Linked DNA regions of Canis lupus familiaris. The protein of the gene in region 2 binds, or shares a complex with, the protein of the main gene of each other region. Links are inferred from orthologs where the notes say so. Each region holds a gene or a part of one and is shown on either strand. Other genes may lie near its edges. The genes, in order: PPIE and XAB2.

Region 1 (4,488 bases), on a different chromosome or scaffold from region 2:
GATACACAGAGGCAGAGAGAGAAGCAGGCTCCCTGAGGGGAGTCGGAGGGGGTACTCCATCCCAGGACCCCAGGGATCACGCCCTGAGCCGAAGGCAGACGCTCACCCCCTGAGCCACCCGGGCGTCCCCACAGCACTATTTTAGAACATAAAATGTGATCATGAATTCCCTGTTACAACCTCCTGTAACTGCTCCAAGCTGCCATCCTGCACATGGCTTATGGGGTAGCGTCACCCTTGCCTACCTTTCCTGCCTGATCCCATGACCACCCCCTGCACACTCTAACCTTTCCATCCCTCGAGTGTGCACAAGCGGATCTCCTTAAAATCTCCCTGCTTCCTCCTCTCCCAGCTTCTTCTTCCTTTAGGCTTTAGCTTCGAGGAGACTTTATTTTATTTATTTATTTATTTTGAGAGAAAGAGAGCAAGCACACCTGGGGTGGGGGGCAGAGAAAGAATCTTAAGCAGGCCTCACCCAGCTGGGAGCGGGAGGGAGAGCAGAGCTTGACCTGCCCACACTGAGATCGTGACCTGAGCCTAAATCATATCCCCCCTTAACCGACTGAGCCACCCACGTGCCCCTAGGCTTCAGCTTAAATGTGACCTCAAAGAGGTCTTAACCCACAGGTCTATGGAAAACAGGTGGCCCCATTAGTTTCTGCCACAAATGGCAATCTGCGATTTCTGAATTGGCTTAGTCCAAGAGTCAGGGGGCAGGTATTTCAGGCCTTGTGGATGGACCATAGGTCTTCTGACCCTGTAGTGTGAAAGCAGCCACAGGCAAGCGATGAGCATGGCTGTGTTCCAATAAAACTTTATAAACACTGAAAATTGGATTTCATAAATTTTCATATCTGCTAAGATTATTTATTTTATTTTTTTTAATTTTTTTAAATTTGGACTTTATTTTCCTTAAAATTTTATTTATTCATGAGAGAAAGAGAGGCAGAGACACAGGCAGAGGGAGGAGCAAGCTCCATGCGGGGAGCCCGATGTGGGATTTGATCCTGGGACTCCAGGATCAAGCCCTGAGCCCAAGGCAGACGCTTAACCGCTGAGCCACCCAGGCATCCCTGCTAAGATTATTTAAAAAGTTCTCCCCGTCTACTTAAAAACGTAAGGGGATCCCTGGATGGCTCAGCTGTTTAGTGCCGGCCTTCAGCCCAGGGCGTGATCCTGGGGTGCCAGGATGAGTCCTGCATCAGGCTCCCTGCATGGAGCCTGCTCCTCCCTCTGCCTGTGTCTCTGCCTCTGTCTCTCTCTGTGGGTCTCTCATGAATAAATAAATAAAATCTTAAAAACTAGATTTTTTAAATAAAATAAGTAAAAACCACCTGCAGCTGCCAGGGTGTCCAAGGGCCCGCGGGTGGGGCGGGGTGGCCCGTAGTTTGCAGATGGTTTACTACCCGCGGAGCAGGCGGTTCGGCCGAGCACCCACCGCGTGGGGCCGCGGGGCTCACGGCGAGGACCCACCGCCCCGAGGCGGACAGCCGGGGGCGGGGCCTGCGAGCGCCTAGGGGCGGAGCCTGCGAGTCCCTAGGGGCGGGGCGGGGCCGGAGGGGGCGGGGCCTGCGAGCGCCTAGGGGCGGGCGGGGCCTGTGAAGGGGGCGGGCCGAACTCCGGTTTCCGGCGGGTGCGCGCGGGAGCAAGATGGCCACCACCAAGCGCGTGCTGTACGTGGGTGAGCAGGCGCGGAGCCGGCGGAATCGGGGCTCGCTCGCCCAGGGGTCTCCGCGTGGGGCTGGAAGGCGTCTAGGGACGCGGAGGGTGGCGAGCCTGGGTCTCGGCCGGGTCCGTGGCGGTACTGCTTGGCTGCAGGGAGCTCGGCCGCCGTAGCAGTCTCGCCGGCTCCCTTCCAAGCCCGCTGAGCTCTGATGGGGACCGCTTCGCCTGCTGGGCCCGGAGGATTGGGAGAGGCGTCTGACGAGGCTCCAGATCCTCGCTGCAGCGGGGGCTCGGCCCGGGCCCCGGCCCGGAAGGAGGGAGTCCCGGGACTCACCCGGTGGAAGTGAGAATGACCTCAATAGCGAAGTTTGATGAGCGCTCTATGGCCCAAGTAGGGTCGTTACGTTTACTGAAAGGGGAGCAGCAAGAGCAAAAACCCCCGAGGTGTGAAATAGCCCTGCACCCATGGGGCAAAGGGGTCATCTTGCGGGAAACCCAGAGAACTGAGGAAGCAAAGGGAAAGAAGGCGAAGAGATGGGCGGGGCGGGGAGTTTGTACTGTATCTTGAGGACGGTGGGAAATCTCCGAAGGAGTTGAAGCAGGGAAGTGATGGGTGAAAATCTGCACGTTCCCAGGTTTGCTCTAGTTGGCTGCGTGGAGGAGAGGGAGGCCAGCTAGGAAGCTGTTGCAGTAATCCTGGCGCTAAGATGCGCGTCCGCAGGAAGGGTGAGGAGGTGTGTTTCATGAGTGTTGGGTGAAGGAGCAAATGAGAAACGTGCTTCTGAGCCCCGAGGACTGGACGGAGCAGCCCCCTCTCCGTGGCTGTCACGTGCTAACTGGGCTGCAGGGACTTCTCCAGAGAGTGGAGGACAGTGGCTCAGAAGGCGCTTGGCATCTTCGCAGGTGGGCTGGCAGAGGAGGTGGACGACAAAGTTCTTCATGCTGCTTTTATTCCTTTTGGAGACATCACAGATATTCAGATTCCTCTGGATTATGAAACAGGTGAGGCCTTTTCATGTCATGTTCACAATCCTAAGAGGGGAAAAAAATTCTAACTGCATTCTAAATATGGTTGATATGTAGGAAAGCTCAAGAGGGTGCCTCATTAGGGCAGCATGACAGGGATCTTGATGCAGAAGGAATGTTCGGAGGCTTGTGGTTATAAGGTTATAAGCTATGACATAACTTTGCAGAGAGTCCCATCTGTCGAGTGTGAGAGAAGATTTTCAATAGCCGGGATGCCTGGGTGGCTCAGCGGTTTAGCACCTGCCTTCGGCCCAAGGCGTAATCCTGGGGTCCCAAGATCGAGTCCCTCATGGGGCTCCCTGCATGGAGCCTGCTTCTCCCTCTCCCTGTGTTTCTGCCTCTCTGTGTGTCTCTCATGAATAAATAAATAAAATCTTAAAAATTTTTTTTCAATAGCCCAATAGGAAGATAGGTTTTGAACTACATGGAGATCTGACTGTTGTTTCAAACTACCTGCTGGGTACCCCACCACCCCCTGCTGCTTTCTTGGCAGCAGTACTGTTGATCAGGGCAGCAGGGAAGCTCAGCCCCAGCTGAAGGGCTTTGGCCTCTGCTTTCCTGGGTGATATTTCCTTCAATTGGCATCACAGGTTCATTGCAGATTTTCTGTCTTGCCTTTGCTTTCTTTTCTTTTTTAAGATTTATTTTATTATTATTATTTTTAAAGGTTTTATTTATTTATTTGTGATAGACATAGAAAGACAGAAGGAGAGACATAGGCAGAGGGAGAAGCAGGTTCCATGCCAGGAGCCTGACGCGGAACTCGATCCTGGGACTCCAGGATCGCGCCCTGGGCCAAAGGCAGTCACCAAACCGCTGAGCCACCCAGGGATCCCCCTTATTTATTTATTTTAGAGATAGCACATGAGCACAGGAGTGGGGAGATGGGAAGAAGGAGAGAATCTCAGGCAGATTCCCTGCTGAACGCTGAGCCAGACAGCAGCTCAGCAGCTCATGAGATCATGACCTGAGCTGAAATCATGAGTTGGGTGCTTAATGATCTAAGCCACCCGGGCACCCTGCTCACCCACTTAGTTGTCATTTTTAAGATTGGAGTTCTAGGCCTAAATCTGTCATCACCCTGCCTGATTATTAGCAAGGTCTTTAAACTCTCTGGGTCTGGGATCTTTATCTGTAAAAAAACAATACAAGCATACTTTGGAGATACTGCAGATTGGGTTCTAGGCCACCACAACCAAACCAATATCACCATGAAACGAGTGAAATGAAATTTTTGGTTTCCCAGTGCACTCAAGTTACGGTAACTATATTGTGGTTTATCAGATGTGCAGTAGCATTATGTCTAAAAAAGTAATGTACTGCCTTAACTTAAAAATACTTTATTGCTGAGGTGCCTGGGTGCCTCAGTCAGTTAAGCATCTGACTCTGGCTCAGGTCATGGTCTCAGGGTCCTGGGATGGAGCCCCGAGTCCGGCTCCTGGCTCAATGGAGAGCCTGCTTCTCCCTCTTCCTCTGCCCCTCCCCTCGCTCGTGCTTGCACTCTCTCAAATAAATAAAGTCTTTTTTAAAAAAAAAATACGTCATTACTAAAAAAGGCTAACCATTATATGAGCTTTCAGCGAATTGTAAATCCTGTAATCACAGATCACCATAGCAAATATAATAATAATGAAAAGTTTGAAATAGTGTGAGAATTTCCAACATGTGACACAAAAGACAAAGAGAGGAAGTGCTGTTGGAAAACTGGTACCAATAAAATTGTTTGCTGCCGGGTTCCCTTCAGTTTGTGAAAAACTGCTATCTATGACATGGAACAAAGCAAAATGCAATAAAATG
Region 2 (4,293 bases):
ACAATACAGTCAGCCTGTCCTTTGAAGTGCTGAAGTGAGGCACTCACTTCTCTCTGGCTATGAACATCCTAGATGGTATCTTCTTCCAAGAGAAGGCTTTTCCACTTATATTAAAAGTCTGTTTGGGGCGCCTGGGTGGCTGTGTCGGTTAGGTGTTTGATTCTTGATCTCAAGGTTGTGAGAAATAATTTTTAAAAAATGTTTTTAAAGTCTGTTTTGTGTAATCACCTTCATTAATTATTTTTTTAAAAGATTTTATTTATTTATTCATGAGAGACACAGAGAAAGAGGCAGAGACACAGGCAGAGGGAGAAGCAGGCTCCATGCAGGGAGCCTGACGTGGGACTCTATCCTGGGTCTCCAGATCATGCCCTGGGCTGAAGGCGGTGCTAAACCGCTGAGCCACCCAGGCTGCCCTGCATTAATTATCTTAACTAAATCTTCAATCAGCTTGCTACAGATTCTACATCAGCCCTTGCAGTTGCACTTTACGCTTTTGTTATAAAGGTGGCTTCTCTCCTTAAACCTCATGAACCAGCCTCTGTTCGCTTCAAACTCGTCTCCTGCAGCTTCCTCACCTCTCTCAGCCTTTGTAGAACCAACTAGTTACCGACTTGCTCTGAGTTAAGACTCTGGCTTACAGGGATGTTGTGGCTGGTTTGATCTCCTACCCAGACCACTAAAACTTTCTCTTATAACGGCAATAAGGCTGTTTGTTTCGCTTTTTTATCATTCATATCTTCACTGAAGTAGCACTTCTAATTTTCTTCAAGAGCTTTTCCTTTGCATTCACCACTTGGCTGTTTGGTGCAAGTGGCCTAGCTTTCGGCCTATCGCAGCTTGCAACACGCCTTCATTAAGCTTAATCATTTCTAACTTGTGATTTATTTATTTATTACGGAAAGATGACAGATTTATTTTTTATTATTATTTTTTAATTAAGTATTTTTTTAATTTATTTATTCAGAGAGAGAGAGAGACTGAGAGGCAGAGACACAGGCAGAGGGAGAAGCGGGCTCCATGAAGGGAGCCTGACGTGGGACTCAATCCTGGGTCTCCAGGATCAGACCCCGGGCTGCAGGCGGCGCTAAACGCTGCGTCACCGGAGGTGCCCTATTTTTTATTTTTAAAGATTTTATTTATTTATTCACAAGAGACACACAGGGATAAAGGCAGAGACACAGGCAGAGGGAGAAGCAGGCCCCATGCAGGGAGCCCGACGTGGGACTCAATGATCCTGGGTCTCCAGGGTAACACCCTGGGCCAAAGGTGGCACTAAACCACTGAGCCACCCGCACTGCCCTAGCTTGTGATTTAAAGTGAGACCTGTGGAACTGGAGGGTATTATGTTGAGTGAAGTAAGTCAATCGGAGAAGGACAAACAGTGTATGTTCTCATTCATTTGGGGAATATAAATAATAGTGAAAGGGAATATAAGGGAAGGGAGAAGAAATGTGTGGGAGATATCAGAAAGGGAGACAGAACATGAAGACTCCTAACTCTGGGAAACGAACTAGGGGTGGTGGAAGGGGAGGAGGGCGGGGGGTGGGGGTGAATGGGTGACGGGCACTTGACAGGATGAGCACTGGGTGTTATTCTGTATGTTGGTAAATTGAACACCAATAAAAAATTAATTTATTAAAAAAAAATGAAAGAAAAGAAAGAAAAGAAGAAAAGAAAGAAAAGAAAAGAAAGAAAGAGGAAAGAAAGAAAGAAAGAAAGAAAGAAAGAAAGAGAAAGAAAGAAAGAAAGAAAGAAAGAAAGAAAGAAAGAAAGAAAGAAAGAAAGAAAGAAAGAAAGAAAAAGAGAGAGAGAGAGAGAGAGAGAGACCTGGGCAGCCCGGGTGGCTCAGCGGTTTAGCACCTCCTTCAGCCCAGGGCGTGATCCTGGAGTCCCGGGATTGAGTCCTGCATCGGGCTCCCTGCATGGAGCCTGCTTCTTCCTCTGTGTCTCTGCCTCTCTCTCTCTCTCTCTGTGTCTCTCATGAATAAATAAAATCTTTAAAAAAAAAAAAAAAGTGAGAGACGTGTGACTCTTCCCTTCACTTGACCACTTAGAGGCCACTGTAAGGTACTAATTGGTCTAACTGCAATATTGTTATGTCTGGGGGAGAAGGGAGGCCCAAGGACAGAGGTGGGCAATAACCCAGGAAGCAGTCCTGAACACAGTCCACAACATTTATTAACTTCCCCTTTTATATGGGCGTGGCTCCTGGTGCCCCCAAACCAAAAGTAACAGAAAAGTTTGAAATACTGTGAGAATTACCAAAACGTGCCACAGAGGCATGAACTGAGCAAATGCTGTTGGAAAAAGGTGCCAACACACTTGCTTGATGCAGGGTTGCCCAAAATCTCCAATTTGTCAAAAAAGAAAGAAAAGAAAAGAAAAAGAAAAAGAAAAAGAAAAAGAAAAAGAAAGAAAAGAAAGAAAGAAAACAAAAAGAAAAAAAACCCTACAATATCTGTGAAACGAAATCCAAGGACATATATGCCTGTGCTGCAGATACCAAGACACCAAGTCTCGGACTCTTCAAGATCCCACCGGCGATCGCCCGACCAGCTCCACGCCGACTCCGGAGCTCTCCTAATCCACACACCAAGCCCTGTATTCCAGAAACGATAACGCTCGGTACCAGACCTAGGCTGTTACTCAAAACATTCAAAGACTTTACCACGGAAACCAGAGCCCTGGCTTTGGGTCACTAGCCTTTACTTCAGACGCAGACCTCTACGAGAGTTAGCCTGGCGACCCTCCCCTCTCCCCGCGAGTCCCCATTCCCGCCCGAGGCCCGGGCCTCCTGGCCCTTAACCTCGACAGCAGCTCTTCACTCGGACCACCTGGACTCCGGCGCCAGAACTTTGCTCCTGGCCAGCCTGGTCCGCACGTCCCGCCCTCGGGTGGACACAGTTTTGGTCCGGTCACCCCAGGCGGCCAAGCCCCGAACCCGGGAAGCATCCAAGGTCGGTGCCCCCACACGGGCCACCCCCCGCCCCGCCGCGGACTCACGAAAACTAGGTCCGGCCGCTCGGGCCGGGACAGACGCGCCATCACCACCATTTTCCGGGGACTCCAGGTACGGGCAGGAGTCGCGCTCTAATGACGCCTCCCTCTGAAGGCCCGCCCCCCCAGGGCCAGACTTGTTGCCTATTGGTTGAGCCCTTTCCAACCCCGCGGACCGCGTTTGTTGACTTTCGCTTAGAAAGGGCCAGGGACCGGAAGCAGAGACGAGGCCCCGAAGATGACGTCATCACGAAGCCCCTCTACCAATCAGCTTCAGCAGTGGAGCCCGCGAACGTCCAATGAGCTGCCGTTTTGCTGGAGGGTCGACTTTGGGCGGAAGCGGCTTTGTAGCCTAGGAGGAGCGAGATGGGGGTGAAGCTGGAGGTGTTTCGGGTCAGTGAGCTTCGGAGCCGGGCGGCGATTGGGCTCCTCTGGGATCTGGGGAGGAGGCTCTGAGAGGGGGGGACTCCAAGAGAGGGCCATGTCGGGGGGAGAAGGCGTCTGTGTTTGGAGAGGGACCTTTCGGGTTGGAAGCCCCAGCGGCGGGGCGCTGGGTTAGGGGAGGGCTGTTGGGAGGGAGGGCCTCGGAGAGGAGTGGTCCGGCGACGGGGGCTCCGAGAAGGAGGCTCCGGACCCTGGGGGAGATCTGGGGAAGCTCAGGGGCTCCGTGTGGTTGTGTGTTTCTGATAGGGAGACCCCTACGTTTAGGGGAAGAGACTCCAAGGCTTGGGGGTGCTCCAGGGATCTGACGAGCGGGTGGGGAATGAGGTTTCACGAGGAGGCTTTTGATTTTAGTACGAGGATTTGTACCCTGAGTCAGGGTGTGTGTGTGTGTGTTTGAGAGGGAGTTTCCCAGATTTGGGGGAGACTTGAGGTCTCTTGAATTATTATTATTACCGGGTTGGTGGGAGTTGTGCGATTCTTGGGGGGCCCTGAAGAGGCACTCCTGGCACTGCGGGAGGATGGTCCTCCAGGCTCTGAGCAACATACGCGTATCGTGGAAGGGGTTTTAATCCCTGGCTCTGCCCATTTATCCCCCGCCCCTTCTAGATGACACTCTACCTCACCTTCCCTGTCGCTATGTTCTGGATTGCCAATCAGGCCGAGTGGTTTGAGGACTATGTCATACAGCGCAAGGTGGGCACAGGGAGAGTATTCATGGGTTCTTTCCAGGGGGTGGGGGAGAGATTGGAGCACCCAGCTGCTGGGGACCAATGTCCCCTTTCCACCAGCCAGCCCTGCCGTACAGGGAAGGGGGTGTGTCTGGAGGCTCCTGGCTCATGCTTCCAGCCG

What was found.
Region 1: XAB2 (region 2) and PPIE share a complex: the UniProt entries of both Homo sapiens proteins name them as parts of the XAB2 complex. The link is inferred for Canis lupus familiaris from reciprocal best matches to the Homo sapiens genes XAB2 and PPIE.

The regions. Positions count from the first base shown.
Region 1 is NC_049236.1:3,240,695-3,245,182, reverse strand, and holds the start of PPIE (peptidyl-prolyl cis-trans isomerase E), read left to right. Parts: upstream 1-1,589; 5' UTR 1,590-1,650; coding exon 1,651-1,681; intron 1,682-2,568; coding exon 2,569-2,667; intron 2,668-4,488. UniProt on the Homo sapiens protein: Involved in pre-mRNA splicing as component of the spliceosome. Combines RNA-binding and PPIase activities.
Region 2 is NC_049241.1:52,810,604-52,814,896, forward strand, and holds the start of XAB2 (pre-mRNA-splicing factor SYF1), read right to left. Parts: upstream 3,058-4,293; coding exon 3,007-3,057; intron 1-3,006. Other genes in the region: protein PET100 homolog, mitochondrial, read left to right, coding at 3,367-3,393, 4,051-4,137. UniProt on the Homo sapiens protein: Involved in pre-mRNA splicing as component of the spliceosome. Involved in transcription-coupled repair (TCR), transcription and pre-mRNA splicing.